Callithrix jacchus: one gene and its partners. The protein of the gene in region 2 purifies or fractionates together with the protein of the main gene of each other region. This does not show direct contact. Links are inferred from orthologs where the notes say so. Each region holds a gene or a part of one and is shown on either strand. Other genes may lie near its edges.

Region 1 (3,500 bases), on a different chromosome or scaffold from region 2:
CTAGATAGGTCCAGTGGGCTGGGGGTAGGCAGAAACCTCACCACACGGTTCTGTATAGGTCTGTATCTGCCCCAGTGCCAGTGAGTACCTGGGACACAGTTCCCCATGTAGATACTAGTGGAATGAAGGACAATACATTCTCAAGGCCAGGGGCTGGCAAGAAAAGTTCTTTCTTGAACTCACTCCACACCAGTGACCCTGAGAACCAGTGGCCCCACTCACTGGACAGTCCACAGACCCCGGGGTGGCTGCTCTCATCTCTACCCACATTCTACTTGTGACTGATATAGGCATGTCCCCAGGAAGGCTTTGTCAGCACAGCCCCCTGGCCCTGGTCCTTATTGGCATCCCCAGCCATGGCCAGACTCCTCTGGCTGTGGGAAGGGGTCCACTTCATGCTGCTGGGGTTACCTCTGCATCCTGCTCTCCAGCTGGGAGGCCAGCGAAGTTGCTGTCTGGAGACTCCGCTGGCAGCCCCTGCAGAAGAGCACAGTTTTTACAGGTCTCCCATTAAGCTCCTGACAGCAAACCCAAACCTTGTTCAGTACAAAATTGGTGTCAAATAGGAGGGTCAGAGCTAAGGGAATGCCTTGTTTTCTGTGGCACTCCAGGCACTTTGGGGGGCTTTGCTGCCATGAGTGGCAGATCTTTGGTTATGCTACTTTGGACATGTCTGCAAAGTACAGAGAAGCCAGGGTGGTTCCCGTCCTTTCCTTTACCTCTCCTTCTTCTGAAGGGGCCCTGCTGGCAGCCCGGGGGGAAGGGAGAGCCTCTCCCTCCTCTTCAGTGCCAGGGGCGATGTAGGAGCCAGACATGGAGGAGACGGTGTCGGTGCTGATCTGGGACGATGCCATGGACATGACAGACTGGGCCAGACTGCTGCTGGTGCTGGCAGGGCCTTTGGAGACAGGGGATGGAGGAAGGAGCCTAGAGGTCAGGCAGGGCTTCTGCAAGCTTTCTGGGGAGCAGAGCCCTCTCTCTATACTCAGGCAGTAAGGAGTAAAGTGGCCTCCCCTAAAATTGGTTTTAGGTTTAAGGTTTTCCAAAATTCTGCTCCTTTATATTTTAGAGCTCAGAACTCAGCCTCGAGGACAAGACATGTGCTTTTCCCTGTCATAATGCTAAAGGAAACCTCATGACAGCAGGACTGGAGCTGAGAGAACTGACACCCCCTAGCTACAGGCAAGCCCACTAACCCATGGTAGGAAAGCAAGTTCTCTTCCCTCTCAAGCCAGGGCCTACCTGTCATGCTGCCCAGGTATTAGCTTGCCACTCCCATGTCCCTTCCCGGAGGAAACGCCAGGACACTGTGGCTGGGTAAGGGGCAAGGACATGCAGCCGCTCCCCGCTCCTCATGTACCTTCTGGGGAGGAAATAGTGGACGACAGAGGCGTCCCTGTGCAAGACGACTGGTCAATAGCTCCAGATGATGACAAGGTGAGATTCTCACTTTCTGGAGTCACACCACATTCCTGGGGGGTGTGGGGGACACAACAGACATGGAGCAAGCGCCAGTCACCTGTGCTGGAGGAAGGGGTCAGGGCGGAGGTCTGGGTAGAGATGAGGAGGAAAGGCGACACTGGGAGGGACTGACTGGCCTGCAGAGGCCGCAGCTTCTCTCTTCTGTCCTCACTTCTCAGCCCAAGCCTGGAATGACTGCCTCCCAGGGGAGGCACACACTTCAGTCAACATCTCCTGCCCAAGGCACAGCATCTGCTGGGGCCATACAAAGACTGCAGCTCGGGTGACACAGGTCACCCAGCAGCTGTGACATGGGGACACCCCAGGTTTCCCCAGGATTATGATCAGCTTTCCTTCTGAGGCAAAAGCATACAAAGCCAGCAGATGCCTCCCTGCCTGCAGGGTATCTTCACACAGAGCACAGTTAACTCCTGCTCAGCTGATTTCTGATACAAACACCACCTTGTTCCCAGCCTGCTGCTCCTCACATGCCCCACCTCCAATCCCAGCCCCCACCTGCCAGGCATCTGGGCGCACAGCCTGACCCATCTGAGGCAGATGCAAAGTTCTTCAGACTGTGTCTCCAAAATCCCTTCCCCTCCCTCCAGGCACTCCTCTGTTGTCTTAGTTCAGGCGATCCTTCTCGCCTCGGCTACTGGAGCCCTTCCCTGGCTGAGTCTGTCTCCTGTCTAGTCCAGAGTGCACGCTGCAGTCGGGTGGGCCTTTGGGAAGCGAAGTGCTCACCATGTCCCTGCTCAGAGCCTCGACTTCCTGCTCTGTGCCTTTGCATGCACCACCCTATCCACATGGATGTTTCTCTCACCTTTTTCTCCTTGTCTAAAAAACTTCAAGGTTCAGCTAAAATGCTACTCCTCCATAACACATGTTCTGATCTCTTCCACTGATCTTATCCATCTCTGACACAGAAATTTATTGACTCCGTTTTGGGCACAATTCTTTTCTATAAAATTTACTTAGTCATTTAACAAATACTTACTGAGCAACAACAACGTGCCAGGCACGTGCTATTCCCATGCATCTGTCCTGTCCCAGCTAGACCTGAGCACCCACGGCCAGGGACCACTTTACCTTTCTATGCTCTGCTCTATCTAGCTCAGTGCCCGACACAGAGGAGGTGTATACACTTTTGTTAAATGAGGTCTATGTGGGACACACAGGGTAGACAATTCCAGCCTTCTTCTTCCATTCCTCAACACAGGCCTCCCAGCAGCCCCCAATTAACCCCAGGGCTTTCCACTTGCTGTTCCCAGGCCTATAGCCCTCTCTCCTCCTATATCTGCATAGCTACTTCTTCCACATCCCTTGGTCTTGGCTCCTGGACCACTTTTTAAGAATGGTAATCCCCACTTCCAGCTGTGACACTCCCTTCCCTGTTGTGTGACATGCTGATCCACAGTACCGTCTGGCACATGTGTATTTTTTTACTTATTGTCTTTTGTGTCCACCACCCCATCCCAGCCAGCAAGAATATAAATGCTACGAGGGCAGGGACTTTTGTAGTTCCCCAGCTCCTATCCTCAGCATATAGCAGAGTGCCTGGCAAATAATACAGGAGGCATACACTGATGAATGCATGAATCTAATGAAAGCTTTGCCGCTGCCTCAGAGGGTGTTGAAAAGGTGTTTGATGAGTGAATGAGAGCAGAGGGACCTGATGAGGCATGCAGGTAGGAGGAAAGTCCCTGGAGTACAACACCCAAGAAAAGGAGAGGAATGTCAATTACCTCTCCGAGATGCTGAGCTGACAGTCTCTGAGAGAGCTGTGTCTCCGACTCACTGCAGGAACGCTCATCTTCCTCTTCAGGCAGCACAGAAGAATTTTGGGAAATGGATCTGTAGGAGTCCAGAAGAAAAGCAGCTGTATCCAACATCCGTTTAAGAACAGTACTTACTGTGAGGAGAAACTGAGGGGAAAACCCAAATCTCTTTTGTTTGCTTATTTTTTGAGACAGGGTCTCATTATGTTTCCCAGGCTGGACTCGGACTCCTGGGCTTCAGCAATCCTTTTGTTGACATTT
Region 2 (3,051 bases):
TTGGGAGGTCAAGGCAGGCGGATCACCTGAGGTTAGGAGTTCAAGACCAGCCAGGCCAACACGGTGAAACCCTGTCTCTAAAAAAAGACTCCGGGAAAAAGTGATGGTTATGGTCTATTGATCACAAGAGGACAGGCAGGGGACTCAATGACCAGTATCAGAAGAGGAAAAGGCATGTGACCAACAGGGAAGGTGTTAGGAACTTAAGGACACCTGAGCTCCAGCTCCTGCCCAGCCCAGCTGAACCTGGCCCTGGAGCTATTACCATTAGGGATCTCCGTATCCAGGGCCACAGCTGTCTCGTACGTCCAGCATCGGGCGACATTACGAATGGTGTAACCACCTCCTCCCAGCATCAGCATAGGCAGGTTAAAGCTCTTGACAAATTCCACACACTTGGCGTGCCCTTTGGTGGGAGAAGGGGTGCTGAGTTATTACAGGAGTACCAACCAGGACCCCGCCCACCCATCCTTGTGCTATCTGGTCTCACCTTTGATGGTCAGATTGAAGCAACCTAACCGATCCCCAGATAGGGAGTCTGAGCCACACTGTAAGACCACGGCACTAGGCTGGAACATCTCCATTACTTTGGACATGACCTAAAATGATAAATCCTGGTCACCACCAACCTCAAGAAAGCAATGTGAGGTTTGGGATGGAAAGGCTGGGTGCAACACTTTCTCCCCCACTCCTACCTTTCCGCTCTCCCTCATGCTATATGGGAGAGAAAAGCGAGTACCAGGCTGGAGCTCTTGCTTCCCTAATCCAAGACCCTTCTTACTCTACTAACACTGAACCTAGAATGGCCTCCATGTCAACTCCCTAAATCTCTTCTTCTATTGCCCAAGCTCTAGCGCCACTTCCTCCAGGAAGCCTTCCTGACCCTTAGCCGGATCTACTCTACTCATTTGGTCTTACAGACTTGGAGCCTTACATTATGAGCAAGCACTCTTGGTTTATCTTATTTTCACAACCAGAGTCTAACATTAATGAGACAGAGACCATAACTCCCACTTCTGTAGCCCTTACTAAATACTAGGCACACAGTAGGGAGTCAGTGTTTGCTGAATGACTACCTGACCTTATTAGGTTAAACAGTTTCTTATTGCTTATAAGTGAAGATTTAATTCCTCAGCATGGCATTCAAGGCTCCCTTTGAAACACTGAGCCCAGCATACACTTCCCATCACCTCCTTCAGCATGCCTCCCACATACCACAGTGGCCTACATGCTGCCACACTGGCATATCTGCACTTCTGCTGGTGCTGGTCCTTCTACTGAATGCCACCCTTACTGCTGTCACCTCCTTCTTCACATGGGTACCTTCTCGTTTTTCAAAGTCCAGCTTAAACATCACCACCTCTGTGCAGTCATCCCTGACTACCCTCCTGCCCGCCCAGGCAGGAGTCTATCTCTCACTCCTCTGACCATCCCTCAAAAACACAGGCACTAGGCCAGCCTGCCCATGGAACAGGCCAGAGAGCCTTTCCACAATCTCTGAATGGGCTGACTGGTGAAGGGCTTTCCCAGATAAAGCCAATCTGCAAAGACTGGAGTAAGTCCCTACTTCTTCAAATGTGCAGACATCAGTGTAAGGCAACGAGGAACATGAAAAACCAAGGAGACATAGCACTACCAAAAGAACACAATCATCTCCCAGTAGCCCAGAGAGACAGAGACACAAAACACTACTAACCACAGACTACTGGATATGTGCCTGCCTTTCCCACCATAGTCCATGAGGGCAAAGATCATGTCTTAGATATGTTTGTATCCAGCAGAAGACCTGACCCATAGAAGGAACCATCAAATATGGATGTTTGTTCCCCTAACTGACCACACAGCAATCCAGGGTTCAAACACTTCTATTTCCCCACCAGCTTTAGTAAGGAGAGATTCCTGAGGTATCATGGGGGTGTTCTGCTCCCCTGCCCTAGACCAATCCCCTTTTTGTAGCCCAAGGAGTGCATAAAGCCACTTACCGGCTTGAAAATGGCCTCATAGGACTCGTCATCAATCCCATCTCGGAGCGGGTAGTTAACAGCATAATACTTGCCTTTGCCAGCCCCGATATCCTAATTAAGAAGGACATGAAAGTAAAACTAAAGGATGAAGCTTAAAGGAAGGTCAGGGATGCAGGCTGGAGGGATAAAGGAAGAGGTTCTAAGAGAGATAAGCTAGGCCCATGATGTGGGCCAGGACAGAACAGGGGTACCTTGTGAGTACCATTCTCTTCACTCACCAATCTAGCTCACATCTCTAGACATAGCATTAAGCCTACACCTAGGCTGAGAGCTACTGATGGGCGTAGAGACTGAATACCCTACCCTGTGGCACAAGATTTCTACCTTGGGATTGGGTTAGGGCTGGCTGGCAGGTGGGCCACAGAAGTAACAACCACCCCTGACAACCCTTTCCACTCCAGAGAGCCCTAATGCTCACTCCTCTTCCCCCATGCTCCCTCTCTAGGGTGGTGTGGAGGGAAGGAGAGAGAAGAAAGTCCTTCCCAGGAACCTCGAAATAGTGAATGTGCCTGTAATTCTAGCACTTTGGGAGGCCAAGGTGGGTGGATAACTTGAGGTCAGGAGTTCAAGACCAGCCTGGCCAACATGGTAAAACTCCATCTCTACTAAAACTACAAAAATTAGCCAGGCATAGTGGCATGCACCTATAATCCCAGCTATTCTCAGGCTGAGGCATAAGAATTGCTTGTACCCAGGAGAAGGGAGGCAGAGGCTGCAGTGAGCCAAGATCACACCGCTGTACTCCAGCCTGAGCAACAGAGCAAGATTCTGTCTCAAAAAAAAAAAAAAAAAAGTGAATGTTCATTTATTCTAATGCTTGCCATAGCAAACAACTGAATTAGTGCCACTTTTTTACCCAAGGGTCACTGGGCATGGCAAACAGCTGATTTCACTGCATTCATGCTAATAGAAGCAGATGGAACAGTTCAAGGAAGTAGTTTCCACGGATTCTTATCCTAAGGTTCATGGATGGGCTTCAGCAAGGGGACTTGTTTATTAACTATTCCATATCAGATGTAAAATTGCA
Region 3 (4,033 bases), on a different chromosome or scaffold from region 2:
GACATCTTAAGTACAGTATTGAGGAAGAAATCAAAATTTGCATTTTAAAGGTGACAAAACCAGAAGCCAGATTACTCACAAATTTAGGAAGGTCTCAGTCCAGAAAACAAGCCTAGTTATCCTACATAGTTGATATAATTTGAAACAAAGGTTTGTATTAAACTTCAAACTCAATCGAGTTGAAGTATAGTCTTCTTGACTTAATTACGTTTTCTCACATTTAGCTTACTATATTTTCAAATTTCTGAGAATCCCTAAGCTGTCACGTACCAAATAATGTAAGCACCTTGTCAGAAGCCAAGCAGTTTGGGAGCCTCACTGAGAAAGCAGCTATAAACTGAAGCTATAGTAAGTACCTTCATAAAGCTACAAAGGTTAAGAACAAAAGGAGACAGAAATGTTTTATACTTCCCCTTACCTTCTAACGAGTAAAATACCAATAGTCCCAATTCCCCTTTTAATATAACCATTTGTGTTCCAAAAACTCAGTTAACAAAAATCCTCCAGAAATGCAGACATTATACAGCTATCACCATGGAAAATATTTCATATCTTTTTTGTTGCTATATATCAACTATATGAAACCACTTGTTCACAGTTAGCTTTCCTAAAAACAAAACAGTTTCTAAAACAAAGACTGTTTACATCTCTTAAGAAGCCTTTGTTCCAACAAGACCCCTCTTCAAGAGCACAACTTCTAGAAAGATTTCCCTTTTTGTGGTTTTATCAACAACAAATACTCCCAAACTCTTTCCATTTGGCATAGGAGTTTGTTAAACAAAGGAGGAAGCAAGCCCCCTCCACACAAAGGAGGTCTCCAAAACAGAGCACTGGTTGTATTTGTAGATTACTGGTGCCTCTTTAACCCCTTTCCTCAGGCTGTACTATGTAGTACTCTCAATACAAAATGGTGGCCATCATGTCTGTCTGGCATTCAGAGTGGGGAAAAGGCAATTCAATTACACATTTTGCAAAGATTACCATTAATATTCTAGCCAAGATGAGGAAATGGGTAGCCAAACCTAACCAGAGCAATACTATCTTTTCAGGAAAAGGGCCCTCTAAAAGGCAAAGAACAAGAAAGCAAGATAAAGGATTTACCCCAGCCCTGGTACACCACAATACCAACATGGAGGACACCTCCCAGGAACCTGACTCCCCTCATTTTGGTTACTAAGAACTTAGTCAAGTTACCCAAATTCTGAATAAAATCCAATTAATGCAAATGTGGAATATTCATATTCATCCTTCCTAGCATGTGACATAAAGCAACATTGCTACTGTGTGAAACATGACCTATTACTCAAGAATTAAAACCTCAGCTCCAACCAGCCCTGTTATAACTTCTGCAGCCCTCTTTGCACTACAAAAACGTACTTCCCGCAAGCAGCAAGAATCAACCTTGCCCACTTCGCTGTAAGAAACTGATCTATTTTCAAATATTTCCCTTATATTCCCTGGCCAGTTATTTTCTGAAGCATATATTTCACCTCCATTTTCAAACTTGCTTAAGAAAAACTAAAGTAGGCGTCCATGTTTTAATTTGGGGTGGGGAAGGGTTGGGATAAGAAGCCTTATTTTCAGGGATCTCCCTTGAAAACAGCTTTCCAAAACATAACGATTCCAAACAGAATCCCCACAACTCAAAATGTCATTACAAAGAGCATGCTTAAGGGAGAAGGGTTGGGAGGGGGTCTTCCTCCACTTAGGAGAGGGGGGCGAGGGGAGGAGAGTGGGGAGAAGATTCTTAAACAGTAGGAAAGGCAGTTAAACCCCCTTCCCAACGGCCCCAGCCCGTCCAACCGCCGCTTAGGCTAACTCGGACTCAGACCGTCCCGAAAGGTGGGCAAAAACCAGAGGTGTAGGAGCGCACCCAGTTCCGGCCACGGGGGAAGGAGTTGGCCGGGCTCTCCTCAGCGAACGTTGGAGCCGTTAGGGATGGTTTCAGCAACACCCACCCCTCGCTCACTGCCCCCAGGTCCGAGTCGCTGCAGACAGGGCTGGAAGGGCTGCGGTGGGTGACTGCCTTTCAGCGCCAGGAGGCTGAGGGCCGGGGGAAACGAGCACGAAATCTTCGGAGGTCTCTTCGTCTGACATTCCCCTACAAACACGGCCTCGCCCCGACCCCGTCCCCACCAGCACAGCCCAGGCCTCCCTGGGGAGCCCAGCGGCTGGGCCAGAAGAAGCTGGGTGTGTGCGCGTTCCGGAGCGCGGGCGGACAACGGGGCCCACCGCCGCCCGTCCCGCCCCCGCCGCCCCAAAAGTGTCCCCCAGACACTAACGCTCCCCACAACACATCCGCTCCGGGGCCGGACCCGCGGCTCCTCCCCGCCCCCAGCCAGCGATGGCCGCCCCCTTCTCGACCCCGGCCCGGGTGACACCTGGAGGCCCAGGGACCAGGCGGTGGAGGGGTGCCCTGGTCTGGAGGGTGGGGCGCCCAGGTGAGGGCCGCTCCGGGCCGACGCCGCCACCACACAAAGGACCAGGGGCTCCCGCCGCCATATTGAAAACTTTCCTCCTCGCACGACAACTCGCAAGTCCCCCACCCCCACCCCCACCCCATCACACACCCCCGCACCCCGGGAGCGGAGGCGAGGACCAGCCTGCTGAGCCTCGCCGGGCCCACAGTCCTCCCCTCCAGCCCGCGCCTCCGCTGGGCTCCGTGAGGGAACTCCCCCGCGACCACCCCCGCCTCCTGCCATCACTCCATCCGGAACCGAACCCGAATCCCCGGCCCCGGCCGCGCTCCCGGCCGCCTGAGCCCCGCGGCGACCCGGCCCTCCAGTGGCACCGCCAAAGCCCCCGGTTATCCCACGCTCCTTATCTCCGACCCTGGAAAAGCCGCCGTCTTCCTCCCCCAGCCTCAAAATGCAACCTTCTAGGCAGCCCCAAACTTGACCAGGCCGGAGGGGCGACAGGCTCCCCCACCCCCCGCGCCTTGGGCCTCCCAGGCCCCGCGCGTCCCCGCTCCCTCCCCCAGCCGCAAGCTGGATCCGGGGTGCTGGCGTGACTCACCGGCGGCGGCCGCACCTTACAGATCCCAGTCTGCTCGGCTATGGGCCGGATCTTGTGGATGAAAGCGAAGGGGTCCGCGAACTCTTCCCAGCTGGGCTCGAAGACCGGGCACTCGGGGGGAGGCAAGAACTCGCCCAGCGGGCCCGGGCCCCCGAGGGGCAGCGCCGGGCGCGGGCCCGGGGGCAGCGCGGTGGCCGGCTCCATCACCCCAAGCCGGGCAGGACCGAGAGCAGGGTGGGCTCTGGGACCGAGGCTGCGGGCTCCGCTCGGTCCGAGACCCGTGCAGACGCAGGTCGGGCCACAGCAAGTCCGAGTAGTACGGGCAACGGCAGCACCTTGGGCTTTTTCAGCCTCCGACGACGACGTCTCGCCGCAAGCCCACGCCGTGCGCCTCCGCCGCCACGGCGAGGAAAAAGAGTCCCACCCCTCCCCCACCCGCCCACCCTCCGTGCAGGGCTCCCCGCCCCGCCCCCGAATCGGGCGGGGCCGCGCCTTTCGCCTTGGATGGAGTTTAACTGAAACCTTAGGGTTTCAGTTGAGCCAACTTTTATTGACCACTTACTACGTATCAGAGTTCCGGCCCTGAAGAAGTTAAGTCTGGTAGAAAGGCTCAGTCCCATAAGCCAATCATTCAATAATGTCAGTACACAGTTGTGGGTGCAGGAAAACCCAGGAGGGGGTTTTGGAAAGAGTATTAGAAATGAAGAATTTTCCAGTAGAGATAACAGCTTGAACATACAAAGAGTATGTTCGTGAGAAGGCAGTAACAGTAATGATAATAATAATGTAACACTTTTGAGCACTTTCATATCCTAGGCACGGTTTTGTCGCATCATTAATCACACAACCCTATGAGGTAGGTACTCTTATTTCCACTTTACAAATAAGGAAAGTGAGGCATAGGTAGATTAAGCAATTTGCCAAAGTGCATATGGCTAATAAGTGATGGAGACTATTTATTCGGAGGTGGAGACGTTGCAGGGAAAACAGTCATCCACAGTCTATGACAAGGTCAGAC
Region 4 (3,500 bases), on a different chromosome or scaffold from region 2:
TGAACTCTCACCATGCCCTAGGATGTCCTATAGAAGCTTTGAACAAGCCCATCTATTCTGGGCTCCTTTTAATTCTTCTAATACAAGAAGCCCACCTCAGTGTCTTCACACTTTCTCTTCCCTCAGTTAGCTGCTGCTTCTCGAAGCTCTGCTCAAGCAATACAATCCAAGCCAAAGCAGCTTTTTAATTCTTCATATTATTCTATCATATCACTGCATTTGGTTGCCTTCTTTGCACTCATCATATCAAATTACAATTAATTTGTTTACTTGTTTACTGTGTATTTCTGTCCCTTAGGAAGGCAGGAGTTTTGTGTTTTGTTCATCACTGTAACTCCATATGTCTAGAAACAGTGCCTTCTACACAGCAAACACTCAATAGGCATTTGTAAAACAAATGAACAAATTAAAAAAGAAATCTTTAAGATATACACAAAACAAGTAAGGGAAAGTAATGGATGGTCCACCAAACAAGGCAAGAAATATTCTACTGTTAGTATTTGCAGCTAGACAGGCTGTGCTCGTGTTATTGGAATCTATTATCCAACAAGCATCAAAAGTGTCCTTCTCAAAGCTCAAAGCCAAGTAGAATGGTTTCACACGCTATATGCTAGTCCACATTATATCACTGCAAACAATCATTTTAGAGAATTCTACATTTCTTACAGTCCCCCCAAAACCTGTAATGTATACAAGTAGTAGTAAAACATATTTAAAAACACCTGCCACTTTATTAAAAAAATAAAAATACTATGACAGTGGTACTTATCTGTAAATGATTTAATTTATCCTCAGAAAACTTCAGCCTTTTAAAGTAACAGGTCCTCCCAACCTAAGACGTAGGTCTTTAAGACAGGTCTGACTAATGTTTACAACATTTAAGAAGCCACCGAACTCACTGTTCTTTTGGAAGTAATGCTGCCACTCAAAGAAAAACCATATAAAACTCATTAAAAAGTGAGCAGCCTCTTTTCACCCAACTGATAAAAGTTTTGACCAAGGGAGGAGAAACCATAGGTTGCTACTATGTTAGTGGTAGAAAAAGCTTCCATTCTTTATTCAAGTATCATTCAATCACAGAAATGAAGATAACATACAAATTTAGGCAACGAAGATAATAAATCTAAGTAACTTGTTAAGCTTGATTCAACCTTCTCACTGTTCAAGATAATGATTTCTAAAACAAATCAGCTAATAAAAACAATTTATACAACAAGGTTAAAAACAGTCATATTTTAATCATCACTTTTTACAGGCGACTTGAACACAAATTCAGTAACTTTCCCTCAGATTCCTTTACACAATTTGATCATCACACTTGGGATCTAACAAAACTTACCTTGGTATGGTAACACATTTAGTATTACAGTTTTGAGTGGTGATGGCTTTCTCAAGCTCATCTAATCGTCCTGTTTTCTTCAGCTTCTTCACCAGACTTTTCACTGCTTTCTCACACCACTTTTCTTCCTGCCCATTCTGCTCTCCTCCGCCTGCTCCTCCAGACCCACCAGCTGACTTCTTCCATCCCAGCAGTCTCTTCACAACTGGCGGCGTGAATGGCAAGATGGACGACATGTTCTTACCAAAGGCAGCAAGCCACGCTAGGAAAACAGCCTCTTGTATCGAACCTAGCAAAGATATTGAAAGGATCATGTAGAGACTAACTTGAATACCAAGAAATAATTTCAACGTATCATAGAAAGCAAACTGTAAAACCAGACAGAAATTCAAATTATGACTTTCCCAACAGATTTCCCAACCCATGAAAAAGTTATCTTTATGAATTTAAATGAATTATGTAAACAAACTAGTCTAAAAAACAAGCCAATGTTATAAGGACTTGTCTTGTGGGCAAACACAGTAATTTTGCAAGTAAAATCAGATACTTCTAACAATGTTTCTCTACCAATACTAAACTCTTAAAATTGTCAATTAAAATATTTTCACAAAAAAAGGTTTTCTCACTTTTTAGAACTTTAATCTACTCTCAAAAGACTATACAAAAATACATTGAAAATTTATAAGCCCACTCTCCCCCAGGTTTTAAACTTTCGTAACTACCAGGAGGCAAAATCTATAGTTACAAGAAGGGAAAATGCATAAACTGTGAAAAAATCAAGAACAAAGAAATAAACACGGCAAACTGCAGAGAAAAGCTGTAGTCCACTTTCACCTGCCCTTGAAAGAAACTTTTTATACTTTTTTCATTTTCATCTAAATTTGCTTAGTGAGTAAAGTTAGAGGGTTTCTCTTCCCAATTTAAGGAATAACCTGTCTTCTCCACAGGAGTCATTTTTATTAAGCTGTTTTGTCTATTCAGTGTCATTTTACAAATATAAACATGGTCACATATCTATCCACATTCCCACCACCTTATTCCTACATAAAAGTAGCATAGCATACCTTGATTTTGTATACCTTGACATTTTTTTTTTTTTTGCTTAATTTGCTGTAAGTCATTCCTTATAAGTTCACACAGAATTTAGAAAGCACTGTCCCCTCAACTTCCTAGAATCCACTACTGATAAGTCTAACATAACTTTTATTCCTGATCCTTTGATTAAAAAGTGATTTGCTCCAGAATCTCTTAATATCTTATCTGTGGTTCTGAAATTTCATAATGTTCTAAGAGGGTATGCAGTGTTTATTCTTTTTCTCATCAACTGTTCTGAGCACTTAATTGATACTAAAATTCTATGAGTCTTGTTTTTATTATTTCTTTGATTATTTTCTTCCCTATTTTCCCTGTAGTCTCTCGTGGAACTTAAGATTTCAGCCTTCTAGTATTGCTGTATCAGTTAAGACATTTCTATTTGTGATTCACATTCCAAGATCTGAGTAACCTCTCCTTCCTCTAGTGTTTCCGCTCTCATTCCTTACCTCTTATGCTTTTCTTTCTTTGCCAATTTTAGTGAGATATAGAAAAAAGGAAAATATGTGTTCAATCTGCATATTTAATAAAGTTCCCAAAAGCATCCTTTTTAGAAAGTAAAGAGGTCTTTACATCACACACCCCAAATACTGCAACTGCAGTTTTCAAAGTGTATCTTTATGAATACAATCATGCTTACATTTTCATGAGTTTGTTCCTTAATAATAATGATCAGACAACAGTTTCTAAGCACACTTTGCATATACTCTTAACATTAAATAAGATCCAGCTGGGTGTGGTGGCTCATGCCTGTAATCCCAGCACTTTGGGAGGCCAACACGGGTGGATCACAAGGTCAGGAGATGGAGACCATCCTGGCGAACATGGTGAAACCCCATCTCTACTAAAATACAAAAAATTAGCCAGGAGTGGTGTCGTGCAACTGTAGTCCCAGCTACTCAAAGCCTGAGGCAGAGGAATCACTTAAACCTGGAAGGTAGAGATTGCAGTGAGCCGAGACTGTGCCACTATACTCTACCCTGGCAACAGAGTGAGACTCCACCTCAAAAAAAAAAAAAAAAAAAATCCTAACACAAGATGAAAAGTTATTCCCCATCAAAGAACTGGC
Region 5 (3,500 bases), on a different chromosome or scaffold from region 2:
AGAGGAAGTTATAGCCAGGCTTCATGTATGAATCAGTAGTTTTCTGAAGGATGAAGTGCTGAGTGGCTTTTTTTGCTAGTACACGTGATCATGGAGGGATGATGTTCCCTGAGAAGCTGAGGGAGTATGGTAGGAGTGTACTCTTTGTGGCTACGTAACCAGCCATCAATTTCCAGGTACTGAGGTTTAAGAACTGCCAGGCAGGCTTGTTGCTATATCTCACTACTTTTTCCATCTCTGCCCCACCTCTCTAGCATTTTAGAAACCTGTTGGGGTAAAACTGAGGTGTGTGGCTTCCTGTCATAGTATGTGGGGTTCAGCATGCGTGTGCTGACTGTATGTGCCTTAGTTTGATGAGTGTATAGTGAAGATGGTCCAGTGGGACCGTGGTGGTCACTGATTCTGTTCTCTGTTTCTGTTATAGCCCTTTCCAGCATCCAGCCATGGGGGATATGAAAACCCCAGATTTTGATGACCTTCTGGCTGCCTTTGACATCCCAGACCCCACCAGCCTTGACGCCAAGGAGGCCATCCAGACACCCAGTGAGGAGAATGAGAGTCCCCTCAAGCCTCCAGGCATTTGTATGGATGAAAGTGTGTCCTTGTCTCACTCAGGATCAGCCCCTGATGTGCCGGCGGTGAGTGTCATTGTCAAGAACACCAGCCGCCAGGAGTCGTTTGAAGCGGAGAAAGACCACATTACTCCCAGCCTCCTACACAATGGATTCCGGGGTTCAGATCTGCCTCCAGATCCCCACAACTGTGGGAAATTTGATTCTACTTTTATGAATGGAGACAGTGCCAGGAGTTTCCCTGGCAAACTGGAGCCTCCCAAGTCAGAGCCATTACCCACCTTCAATCAGTTCAGTCCAATCTCCAGCCCAGAACCTGAAGATTCCATCAAAGATAACGGATTTGGGATAAAGCCCAAACACTCTGACAGTTATTTCTCATCCCCTCTTGGGTGCGGGGCTGTGGGGGGTCCAGTCCTGGAGGCTCTGGCTAAGTTTCCAGTCCCAGAGCTACATATGTTTGATCATTTTTGTAAGAAAGAACCCAAGCCAGAACCCCTGCCCTTGGAGAGCCAGCAGGAACACGAGCGAGGTGGGCAGAAGGCAGTGGAACCTCACAAAGATCTGGATGCCACTCGATTCTTTGGGGAAGCTTTGGAGTTTAACAGCAATCCTAGCAACAGTATTGGAGAGTCCAAGGGGCTTGCCCGGGAGCTTGGTACCTGCTCATCAGTCCCCCCTAGGCAGCGTCTAAAGCCAGCTCATTCCAAGCTGTCCTCTTGTGTGGCAGCTTTGGTGGCCTTGCAGGCCAAAAGAGTGGCTAGTATCACTAAGGAGGATCAGCCTGGCCACACAAAGGGTCCCTCAGGGCCCACTAGAGAGGGTTCTAAAGGTAGCCCCAAAATGCCTAAGTCACCAAAGAGTCCCCGGAGCCCTCTGGAGGCCACTAGAAAAAGTATCAAGCCATCCGACAGCCCTCGTAGCATCTGTAGTGATAGCAGCAGCAAAGGCTCACCGTCTGTGGCTGCCAGCTCCCCACCAGCAATTCCCAAAGTGAGAATCAAAACCATTAAGACATCATCAGGGGAAATCAAACGGACTGTCACAAGGATCCTGCCAGATCCTGATGATCCAAGTAAGTCCCCTGTTGGGTCACCTCTAGGGAGCGCCATTGCCGAGGCCCCAAGTGAGGTGCCAGGGGAGGAGGTGCCTGTGGAAGAGCACTTTCCTGAGGCAGGCACAAATTCAGGGAGCCCCCAGGGGGACAGGAAAGGGGACGAGAGCATGTCAAAGGCCAGTGACTCTTCATCTCCCTGCGGTAGTTCTGGGCCCCGGGTCCCAAAGGGGGCTGTCACGGGCACACAGACAGGCAAGAAGCAACAGAATACAGCACTGCAGGCCTCTACCCTGGCCCCTGCCAACCTCCTGCCCAAAGCCGTACACTTGGCCAACCTGAACCTCGTCCCCCACAGTGTTGCTGCATCAGTGACAGCCAAGTCCTCAGCGCAAAGACGGAGTCAGCCACAGCTTACGCAAATGTCGGTGCCCCTTGTCCACCAGGTGAAAAAGGCTGCCCCACTGATTGTAGAGGTCTTCAACAAGGTCCTCCACAGCTCCAATCCCGTGCCCCTCTATGCGCCAAATCTCAGCCCGCCTGCGGACAGCAGGATCCACGTGCCGGCCAGTGGGTACTGCTGCCTGGAGTGTGGAGATGCATTTGCCTTAGAGAAGAGCCTGAGCCAGCACTATGGCCGGCGGAGCGTCCACATTGAGGTACTGTGTACACTGTGCTCCAAGACGCTGCTCTTCTTCAACAAGTGCAGCCTACTGCGGCACGCCCGTGACCACAAGAGCAAGGGGCTCGTCATGCAGTGTTCCCAGCTGCTGGTGAAGCCCATCTCTGCGGACCAAATGTTTGTGTCGGCCCCTGTGAACTCCACGGCACCAGCAGCCCCAGCCCCTTCATCCTCTCCCAAACATGGCCTCACTTCGGGCAGTGCCAGCCCCCCTCCTCCAGCCTTGCCGCTCTACCCAGACCCCGTGAGGCTCATCCGGTACTCAATCAAGTGTCTTGAATGTCACAAGCAGATGCGGGACTATATGGTCCTGGCTGCACATTTCCAGAGGACAACAGAGGAGACAGAGGGGCTGGTAAGCAGACCCTCACTGATACGGGTATCGGGCCCCCGGCTTATACAGGTTCCATGACTGGGCATGGAGAGGAAAGTTTATTGATATGAGGGCAGTGGTGGAATCTTATGAGTGTTAGAAGAGGACGTCTGCCTGAATATTTAGTGCTTGGTGTTTGTTGGAAAATGTATCCTGCTCATACTAAGGTGAGACCCTAATTTAGAAAGTGTATCTATGAATGTGTCCCATGTGCCACTCAATGTCTCCTTGAAGGGTCTGTTAAGGCCCAGTATCAGGCCTGAGATAAGGGTGTACTGGATGATCTCCCTCTGGTCTCTGGCAGGTGTCAGCACAGTCTTAGCATGTGACCAAGGAACTTGGGGGCAGTGTTAGGTGAGTCACCGCCGCTGCACCTCAGTCTGCTCTAAGAACTGTCTTTTTCTTTCTTGAGATGGAATCTTGCTCTTTCTTGAGATGGAATCGCCCAGGCTGGAGTGCACTGGCAGGATCTTGGCTCACTATAACCTCCGCCTCCAGAGTTCAAGTGATTCTCCTGCCTCAGCCTCCTGAATAGCTAGGACTTCAGGCATGTGCCACCACTCCCAGCTAATTTTTGCATTTTTAGTAGAGACAGGGTTTCACCGTGTCGCCTAGGCTCGTCTTGATCTCCTGGCCTGAAGTGATCCACCCACCTCGACTTCCCAGAGTGCTGGGATTACAGGCATGAGCCACTGTGCCCAGCCAAAGAACTGTGTCTTTAAAAAGTGGTTGTTCTACCCTGCAGTGACACAGCTGTTTTTGCGGAGTCCTTTGTGGAAACTGCAGTGTGGGCAGTGGCAGGGCCAGGGTAGAAGGGAG
Region 6 (4,127 bases), on a different chromosome or scaffold from region 2:
TGTTGGCCAGGATAGTCTCAATCTGCTGACCTCATGATCCAACTGCCTCGGCCTCCCAAAGTACTGAAATTACAGGTGTGTGCCATGTGCCTGGCCGAGGGGAGCTTTTAAAAAAAAAAAAAAAAACTGACCTTGGTATAACTTCGCCTCCCTTGACTTCCAGGTTTAGTTGATCTGGAATTAACCCACGTTTTCTTTCTAAACTTCCTGAGTGAATCTAATGTGCAGCCGGGGTTGTAATTGCTGGTAATTAGTTCGTTTGGGTCATGATTCCTTCCTGTGTGTTTATCTCATCCCCCATTCTATCCTCATTAAATAGGAGCTCCACCAAAGCACACATATTTCTTTCCTCTCAATTTCTCAAACGCTCAACCCAGAAATCTACAAATAGTGATTATGCAGTACGCAGATTCTAAAGATGCCAAAGAGCAACTAAGACATAGTTTTAATCCAGCAAAGGGGACACCCCTGTGCTTCACACTCCAATCCACATTCTTTACCATGGAGATAGAGACGGTCAAGAGGTGCCCCAGGAAAAGCTTACCCTGTTTCATGGCGTGCTTCTCCTGGAGAGCTGGTTGGATTTTCTCCATCTGCTTGGTTAGAAAATCTATCTTCCTCTTGAAAAAGTCCTTGGCATCCTCAGCTGTCTGCAAGATCAGAGGTGAACGAGGGGCTAAAAGGAGATACCCTCTGGCCATGTTGCACTCTAGCTCTTCCCTAAATTTCCCTTCCCTGTTCAGAGGGGCATCCACATGCTCTCACTCACCTTCTCTACATAGTACCCAGTTCCCACATCGATGAGCACGTGCTCCACATCATGCAGCTTCCCAGGGACATACATCTGAGGAGCAAGTATTAAGGGAAAAACTAGCCCAGCATGAGCTGTGATTCTGCAACCCAGCCTGCTTGGCCTCTAAAGACCCTCGTTTTCCAAAAAGCTACAAGGCATAAGGACTGAATAATCTGGAGGCCTTAGAACAATATCTATAACTCCAAATGGAAAGAAGACAGAAGTTGGTTCTTTATGGAGAAAATGATGTATGCTGGAACACTCTCTTGTCCTGCCTCATCCCATCTCTCACCCTCTAAACAGTTCTTGCAGTTCTTCCCATTAGCCCCTCCAGAAAGACTAGATATGTTTTCCTACTGTTGTAGAGTACAAGTGGAAAGCTAGCCTCACTTCCCTTAACCCCCTCAATCATGAAGTAGCTAATTCTTGATGAATTTTTATTTTATTTTTATTTTTGAGGTGAAGTCCTGCTCTTGTTGCCCAGGCTGGGGTGTAATGGCACACTCTCAGCTCACTGCAACCTCCACCTCCCAGGTTCAAGAGATTCTCCGACCTCAGCCTCCTAAGTGAGATTACAGGCATGTGCCACCATGCCTGGCTAATTTTGTATTTTTAGTAGAGATGGGGTTTTCCCATGTTGGTCAGGCTCATCTTGAACTCCTGACCTCAGGTGATCTGCCCGCCTCAGCCTCCCAAAGTGCTTGGATTACAGCTGTGAGCCATAGCACCCAGCCATTTTTTTTTTTTTTAACGATTCCCTACTATACTATTCCTGTGTTCTTTTTAGCCTGTCAGTTCTCAGACTACAAAGGTGCCGTATTGCCATAACTCGCTCATTCAAGTAAGACATTCAGCAAGTGGACACAATCCAGGTTCCTTAGTGACAGTTTAGGAATGAGCCACAATTAAGCTGAAATTGAAGATTAACAGTCAACATACCTGTTTCTATATCCTCCTATTTTGTCTATTGCCTGTGTCTTCTAAGTTATTAGCAAAATGTAAACCACCAGCTTTATCTCCATATTAATGTTCTCAAACAGCAAAGGGAAATATTACATCTCAACTCGACATACTCCTTGGTATTCACAAGGCATTAGCTGGATGTTGGTGTGAAGTTAGATATAAGAGCTACATAGTGTGTAGTAAGAGTATTCTCAAAAACGTTGCGGGGGAGGGGAATCTGAAGTAATCAAAACGACCCTTCTCCCCGCTTTTTGGGGGAGAGTGAGGGAGAAAGGGAGAAGGCAGCAGGTAGCCGTTCCTGTGGAAAGGATACAGAACTCGTCAGTGGGACGAGTAATTCTTTCCCTGTGAAAGCAATGAAGACAAACACCTGGGGAAGGTTAGCGGCTCCAACGTAAGACATTAAAGAGAGTTCCAACAGGGGACAGCACCCACAGACAGTGTGAAAAGAACGGAAACAGGGGCAACAGGAGCAGAGGTATGTCCTGTACATTTCAATTTTAGGTAGGCAACATGCAAAGGGTTCATGAAGCGGCATACGAGATGTAATGGATTTTCTCGTTTCAGTTAAGAAAAACTGGATTAGGAAGTGGGACGAGAGAAGCTGGCTCGCCACTTTAGGTTGCCCTCACCCGCCTACCCCATACCCTCGTTGCTCTTGTTCAGCACGTTCAGACAGTCCTTGGCTTCCACATACTTGGTCTGTACCACTTTGAGCTGGGCAATGGACGTGGACAAGAACTCCACTTCCTACAGAGGACGGGAATAGAGTCAATGAAAGGGCTGCGGGGAGAAGGGAGCCCGGCCAGGGAGGGGGCGGATCCTGGGATCGGATAGAGGTTTCGCCTGGGAAAGGCAGGCTCCCAACTTGGAACGGGGAGCGAGGAAGTACGCATGGGCAGGGGGGATGTAGAGCAGGAAAGAGGCGCTTCTGGGGCTCGTCCCACCTGGTCCAGCTGGTTTTTGAGCATTTCTAGCTGCGGCAGATTCAGCTCCGTGATGTTAATCGACTGCGCCATGTTGGGAAGGAGGACTAACGAAAAGGAAGTCCCTTGGCGAGCAACGCTCTAGCAGTCCTCTGCGCGTCTCTATGGCGCCAGGAGGCCTAGCTGCGCCAGGCTGCTCTATGATTCTCCGTCCCGGAAGGGAAGGGGGGGCTTGAACCGGTCAGAGGCTGAGCTGTGCTTTGGTTTCATAAAACATTCTAACCCTAGCACGGTAAAGTTGCGGCAAACAGGACTCCAGCCCACAAGGAACTTCAAAATCTTAAAGTCCTCACGACACAACCACGATGTTATAAAGTAGTGTATGCTACTCCACATGGGTGGTATAAGCTACTGACAGGTCTTCAGTTCTTTGGTCCGAAGTAGCATCTTGAAAATGGTGCTTTGAGCAGATGAAGTGGAAGGGAGTCTGGAGATGGAGCGAACAGCAAGGAGGCACCATTGTCAACCAAGTACAGCACAAATTAATCAAAATGTTTTGGCCGGGCACTGTGGCTCACGCCTGCAATCCCACCACTTTGGGAGGCTGAAGAGAGCGGATCGCTTGAGCCAAGGAGCTTGAGACCAGCCTGGGAAACACGGCGACACCCCGTTTCTACTAAAAATACAAAAATTAGCCTGGCTGGTGGTGTACGCCTGTAGCCTCAGCTACTTGGAAGCCTGAGGTGGGAGGATCGCTTAAGCTGGAGAGTTTGAGGCTGCAGTGGGCCGTGATTGTGCACTCCAACAGAGCCAGACTGTCTTCGAAAAAATAAAAAAGGTTCTACCATGTGCTATATGGCAGGGATACGTGAGAGTGTAAGATACTTGCTTCCCTTGAGGTTAACAATTGGAGAGAAAAACTTCACGATTATAACTCCACAGATCCACAGAATCTACTGCTAAAGTATACACATTGGTAAGTGTGACAGCTGTACATGAGCAGACAGCAGTAGCCTTTAACATCTACTTAGGAGTCAGGCAGGGCAACTGAGGCATTAAAACTAGTGCTACTCCCAGGGTACCTGAGGCAGGAAGACAGGATGGACGGGTGGTACCTGCCCCATAACACTCTCAACGGGTCAATGATTACCCTTCCTTGGGCTTATCTCTACTTAGCATTTTGATGCCCCTTTCTCCTCCAGATTGTCTGCTGAGGCCCAGCCAGGCCCGGTAGGCTTTGTCCTGTCTTTGCCTTTCTTCCCCAGGCTCTCAAACTTGATCTCCTGTGAGCTGTTCCCATCAGTTTACAGTACCACAGCAGGAAGGGGGCAGTTATGCAGTATCTGTTTTTTTTTTTAAGACAAGTCTCATTCTGTCGCCCAGGCTGGAGTGCAATGACACAATCTCAGCTCACTGTAACCTCTGCCTCCTGGGTTCAAGCGATT
Region 7 (3,500 bases), on a different chromosome or scaffold from region 2:
TGTACCATTTGATGAATCTGATCCTGGTGCAACTGAAAATATTTGTTGATTCTGCAAATTCTGAAGGGGAAGAACATACTGCCCACTTGAAGTAGTAGCACTTGGAATCTGCACTAGATTACCAGCTTCATCTTTTATAGTTGTAGGTGTGGCTGACAAAACCTCCCATCGGTTTGGTGCTCCTCCTAACTGTGCAGAAGCCAAATCACCTGTCTGGATGAAGAAAACAAAAATGTGATATATTTGTGGTATATTTAAACGAACTCTCAAAACATTCTAAAAACTGGTATAAATCCTACTACCTGAAAATTCAACTTATCTTCAAATACAGTAAGTACAGTACTATGTGAACTACAATAATTATCACTTCCAGAACAATTCCAGAATTGTTCTGCAAAAACAATTCATCCTATTTGAGTGGAATAAAAAAAAATTCTCAGCATGTTCATCACAACCACCAACCAATCTTCTAATTCTGTGTCTATGACCTCTAACACTGTACAGTTTTAAAAAAAACAGCGAAGTTGGCTATGACTGAATCAGGTGTGTTATATTTGCATATAAAAAGGAAACAGCATAGTGTATTGTCATCGAGTTAGAAAAGATTTATTCATTATTGCTATAAACTTCAAATCAAACAATTAAATCTACTCCTTTGTGGCATGTATTAACATACTCTAAAGTAAACTCATGGCTAGGACTATTCTATCAGCAAGCTATCAAACTCTTTACTTTTTCTGTGAACTATTAAAAAATAAAGACCTTAAAAAAATTTAATGAGAAAAGGTCACTGCCCTGGGACCACATGACCCACGCAGCCCCATTTGAAAGGTTTCTCTAGAATCAGAAGCTGGAGCATACAGACTGTGGCTCTACCTACTATTCTAAATTTGCAGTAGAATACCTGGCATATATTTTTTGTATTCTGGTATAAGCCTGGCATTATCCTGCAAACTTAGAATAGCAGGTAAAGCAACAGTCTGTATGCTTCTGGACCTGCTAGAAGCTCAGTTATCATCCCCACAGTTTATGGATTAGACAAGACTGGAAAAAAATCCAATGTAGAAAAGCAGAAAGCAATAAAACCCTACAAGTCAATGCCAAGAGTAGTTTTTTTTTTTAGGAAAATAATGGCAATAATATTTAATATTTAAGCTTTTATATGCCAAGAACTATGAGAGAGATTTAGAGGATTATGTAATTTACTCCTTAAAACGATCCTATGAAATCGTTTTTATGATAGATTTTATAATAATAGATATTATCCCTATTTCACAACTGAGAAAACTGAGGGACAAAATCACATAGCTATCAAACAAACAAGACAGGATTTAAAACTAGGCTAAACTTGACTCCAAAACCCAGGCCCTTAAACACCATATCATGTCTGTGTCATACCTTCCCCCAAGACCAATAGCAAAGACATAGGAAATAAGACCTATATAATTTACTATCCAAATAAAGCCATCCTTCTCCTACTTCTTTCTAGATCTATCCGTGAGTTCAGTAACTCCCCAAATCATAAGACAATGGAAACATAAGTTTATCTAGCCCAGCACTGTCAACCTAAGATCCATAATTGGGCTTCAATTCAAGGAAGCCCTTTAAAACAGCATGCCAACATTTTGATAAAATATTAACACAATTTGAAAGGGAGAAAGAAAATCTAGGGTTTCATCGAATTCTCAATGGGAGTCCAAAACTATAAATATCAGTAAAGACATATACAGTTCTCCCAACATAAACCATTCCATAAAACTTAATGCAAATATGATAAACAAAAAAATCTTCAGTTAAAGAAACTCACTACCTAACTCTCATGAAGACATAGTAGAGAAGTATATACAATATTTCAGTGAATGAACCACAGTTAAACGACTCAATTAAAACATTTGAATATAATTTACCAAGATGAAATACACATGTGAGTAAACCATGACATACAAGTCCTATCTTCAAATGGTTCACTGTAAATCCAAGCAAATATATCCATGATAATACAATGTGAAAAGTAGCATATACTAGTCATATGATCAAACACTGCGGAAGATACAAGACTGAAAAAAAAAAGATTTCATTAGCGATATTTTAAACTAGTATTAGAACAAATGGTAAGATTTTACTATAGTCAATTAAAAAAAAAGAGGCATTAAGAAAGGCATAGAAACAAAATCACAGACAGAAAGAAACCCTAAATAATAATACACAGTTTGGAGTTGAAGACAAGGTCACAAAAAGGCTCATATTCAGAGAGAAAAGGGGAACAGGACTAGACATTTTTATCAAGGCTTGTAAATGGCTTCACAGATCCCACTAAATTGTTTGGACTTTATCCTGTAGATAGTGAATGAAGGTTATAAAAGGTTTATAAGCAAGTGAGTGGTGCAATCACATCTGTGTTTTATAAAGATAAACTAAGTCTCAGTAAAGGAGACTGAAATGCAGAAGAGACTAAAGGCTGAGAAACTGTGAGACCCAATACAAATCTCTAGGCCTGAACTAAAACAGTAATCTGTCTTACATACACTTAAATTACACTAACTAAACTATTTTAAAATGAAGCATCAGACATTAAAGTCACATGTCATTCTGCAACTTCAATCTGGTATAGAAATTACAAGGTTAAGTTACCTTTCCTAACATTACAGTGACAAATCATGCTTTATTTCAGTCTCTTAACACTTTAAGTAAACTACAAATATTTAAATCTATATATTAAAATCTACACTAAAGTGTCTAAAATCCAATCTTTATCTTAAGGTTATTGCTCACCTGGAGAATCCACTGAAATTTTTTTCTGACTAGCATTAAATTTACAAGTATTGAACTTTTATCAAAGAATACAGCAATTCAGACACAAATTAATTTTATAATACTGGCATTTTGTCCTGTTTCCTTTCTTTAAAAAAAAAAAAAGTCAAATTTACAGCATCTAAAATTTTTGGATTTTTTTACAAAATAGTAATAAAGGCAGATATTCAACCAACACTGAACAGCTTTCAAGAAATTCCTTGAAAATAAAATACAACTACTCAAATGACAAATCTGAGTAAATACTGCCCAAGTCACCCAATCTCCAGAAACCAGATAAAAATAAACTGTAGTTCCATTTATCCCAGCAAGTTAGGCCATTAATTGAAGGAAAATCTCCAAACCTAGAGCAAAGTGATGTGTTCAGAACTTTTCTGAATAAGCACGAAATGAAAAGCATATAAAATACCTGTGAAGCACAAAGATGAAAACAAAAAGCAACAGATAATTTAAGTAAAAGAATCAAGCAAGAAAAGGGACTTTTTTAAGGTAATGAATTTGCAGTTTAAAAAAAATGTGCTAAACACCCTATTTTCTAAATGGAGGAAAAAAATCAGAAAACTACTAGATAATTTATGCTAAAAATATGCCTCACAGAGAAGAACATATTATACTAGAAAGAAAAGAACTCAGAACTGAGTTCTAGTTCTGACTACAATGTGGAATTGTGTGAGATCAACTCAATTTCC

The links.
Region 1: the proteins of HDAC1 (region 2) and RNF157 purify together in Homo sapiens (affinity purification with western blotting; 3 studies listed by BioGRID, with this or other methods). This does not show direct contact. The link is inferred for Callithrix jacchus from reciprocal best matches to the Homo sapiens genes HDAC1 and RNF157.
Region 3: the proteins of HDAC1 (region 2) and KDM5B purify together in Homo sapiens (affinity purification with western blotting; 3 studies listed by BioGRID). This does not show direct contact. The link is inferred for Callithrix jacchus from reciprocal best matches to the Homo sapiens genes HDAC1 and KDM5B.
Region 4: the proteins of HDAC1 (region 2) and SMAD2 purify together in Homo sapiens (affinity purification with western blotting; 5 studies listed by BioGRID, with this or other methods). This does not show direct contact. The link is inferred for Callithrix jacchus from reciprocal best matches to the Homo sapiens genes HDAC1 and SMAD2.
Region 5: the proteins of HDAC1 (region 2) and ZNF592 purify together in Homo sapiens (co-immunoprecipitation; 3 studies listed by BioGRID and IntAct, with this or other methods). This does not show direct contact. The link is inferred for Callithrix jacchus from reciprocal best matches to the Homo sapiens genes HDAC1 and ZNF592.
Region 6: the proteins of HDAC1 (region 2) and PFDN5 purify together in Homo sapiens (affinity purification with mass spectrometry; 5 studies listed by BioGRID and IntAct, with this or other methods). This does not show direct contact. The link is inferred for Callithrix jacchus from reciprocal best matches to the Homo sapiens genes HDAC1 and PFDN5.
Region 7: the proteins of HDAC1 (region 2) and SP3 purify together in Homo sapiens (affinity purification with western blotting; 6 studies listed by BioGRID). This does not show direct contact. The link is inferred for Callithrix jacchus from reciprocal best matches to the Homo sapiens genes HDAC1 and SP3.

What each region holds. Positions count from the first base shown.
Region 1 is NC_133506.1:132,058,446-132,061,945, forward strand, and holds part of RNF157 (E3 ubiquitin ligase RNF157), read right to left. Parts: intron 3,316-3,500; coding exon 3,207-3,315; intron 1,551-3,206; coding exon 1,361-1,550; intron 899-1,360; coding exon 720-898; intron 478-719; coding exon 412-477; intron 1-411. UniProt on the Homo sapiens protein: E3 ubiquitin ligase that ubiquitinates APBB1 for its degradation by the proteasome and thus prevents apoptosis and promotes survival of neurons.
Region 2 is NC_133508.1:68,943,347-68,946,397, reverse strand, and holds part of HDAC1 (histone deacetylase 1), read right to left. Parts: intron 2,076-3,051; coding exon 1,983-2,075; intron 600-1,982; coding exon 491-599; intron 407-490; coding exon 266-406; intron 1-265. UniProt on the Homo sapiens protein: Histone deacetylase that catalyzes the deacetylation of lysine residues on the N-terminal part of the core histones (H2A, H2B, H3 and H4).
Region 3 is NC_133520.1:29,841,675-29,845,707, forward strand, and holds the start of KDM5B (lysine-specific demethylase 5B), read right to left. Parts: upstream 2,801-4,033; 5' UTR 2,703-2,800; coding exon 1,959-2,702; exon of another isoform or gene 1,874-1,958; intron 1-1,873. UniProt on the Homo sapiens protein: Histone demethylase that demethylates 'Lys-4' of histone H3, thereby playing a central role in histone code. Does not demethylate histone H3 'Lys-9' or H3 'Lys-27'. Demethylates trimethylated, dimethylated and monomethylated H3 'Lys-4'.
Region 4 is NC_133514.1:90,992,860-90,996,359, forward strand, and holds part of SMAD2 (mothers against decapentaplegic homolog 2), read right to left. Parts: intron 1,629-3,500; coding exon 1,340-1,628; intron 1-1,339. UniProt on the Homo sapiens protein: Receptor-regulated SMAD (R-SMAD) that is an intracellular signal transducer and transcriptional modulator activated by TGF-beta (transforming growth factor) and activin type 1 receptor kinases.
Region 5 is NC_133507.1:23,624,020-23,627,519, reverse strand, and holds part of ZNF592 (zinc finger protein 592), read left to right. Parts: intron 1-424; 5' UTR 425-443; coding exon 444-2,663; intron 2,664-3,500.
Region 6 is NC_133510.1:66,256,658-66,260,784, forward strand, and holds the start of PFDN5 (prefoldin subunit 5), read right to left. Parts: upstream 2,801-4,127; 5' UTR 2,776-2,800; coding exon 2,704-2,775; intron 2,507-2,703; coding exon 2,404-2,506; intron 2,102-2,403; coding exon 2,070-2,101; intron 845-2,069; coding exon 770-844; intron 651-769; coding exon 545-650; intron 1-544. UniProt on the Homo sapiens protein: Binds specifically to cytosolic chaperonin (c-CPN) and transfers target proteins to it. Binds to nascent polypeptide chain and promotes folding in an environment in which there are many competing pathways for nonnative proteins.
Region 7 is NC_133507.1:55,497,108-55,500,607, reverse strand, and holds part of SP3 (transcription factor Sp3), read right to left. Parts: intron 214-3,500; coding exon 1-213. UniProt on the Homo sapiens protein: Transcriptional factor that can act as an activator or repressor depending on isoform and/or post-translational modifications. Binds to GT and GC boxes promoter elements. Competes with SP1 for the GC-box promoters.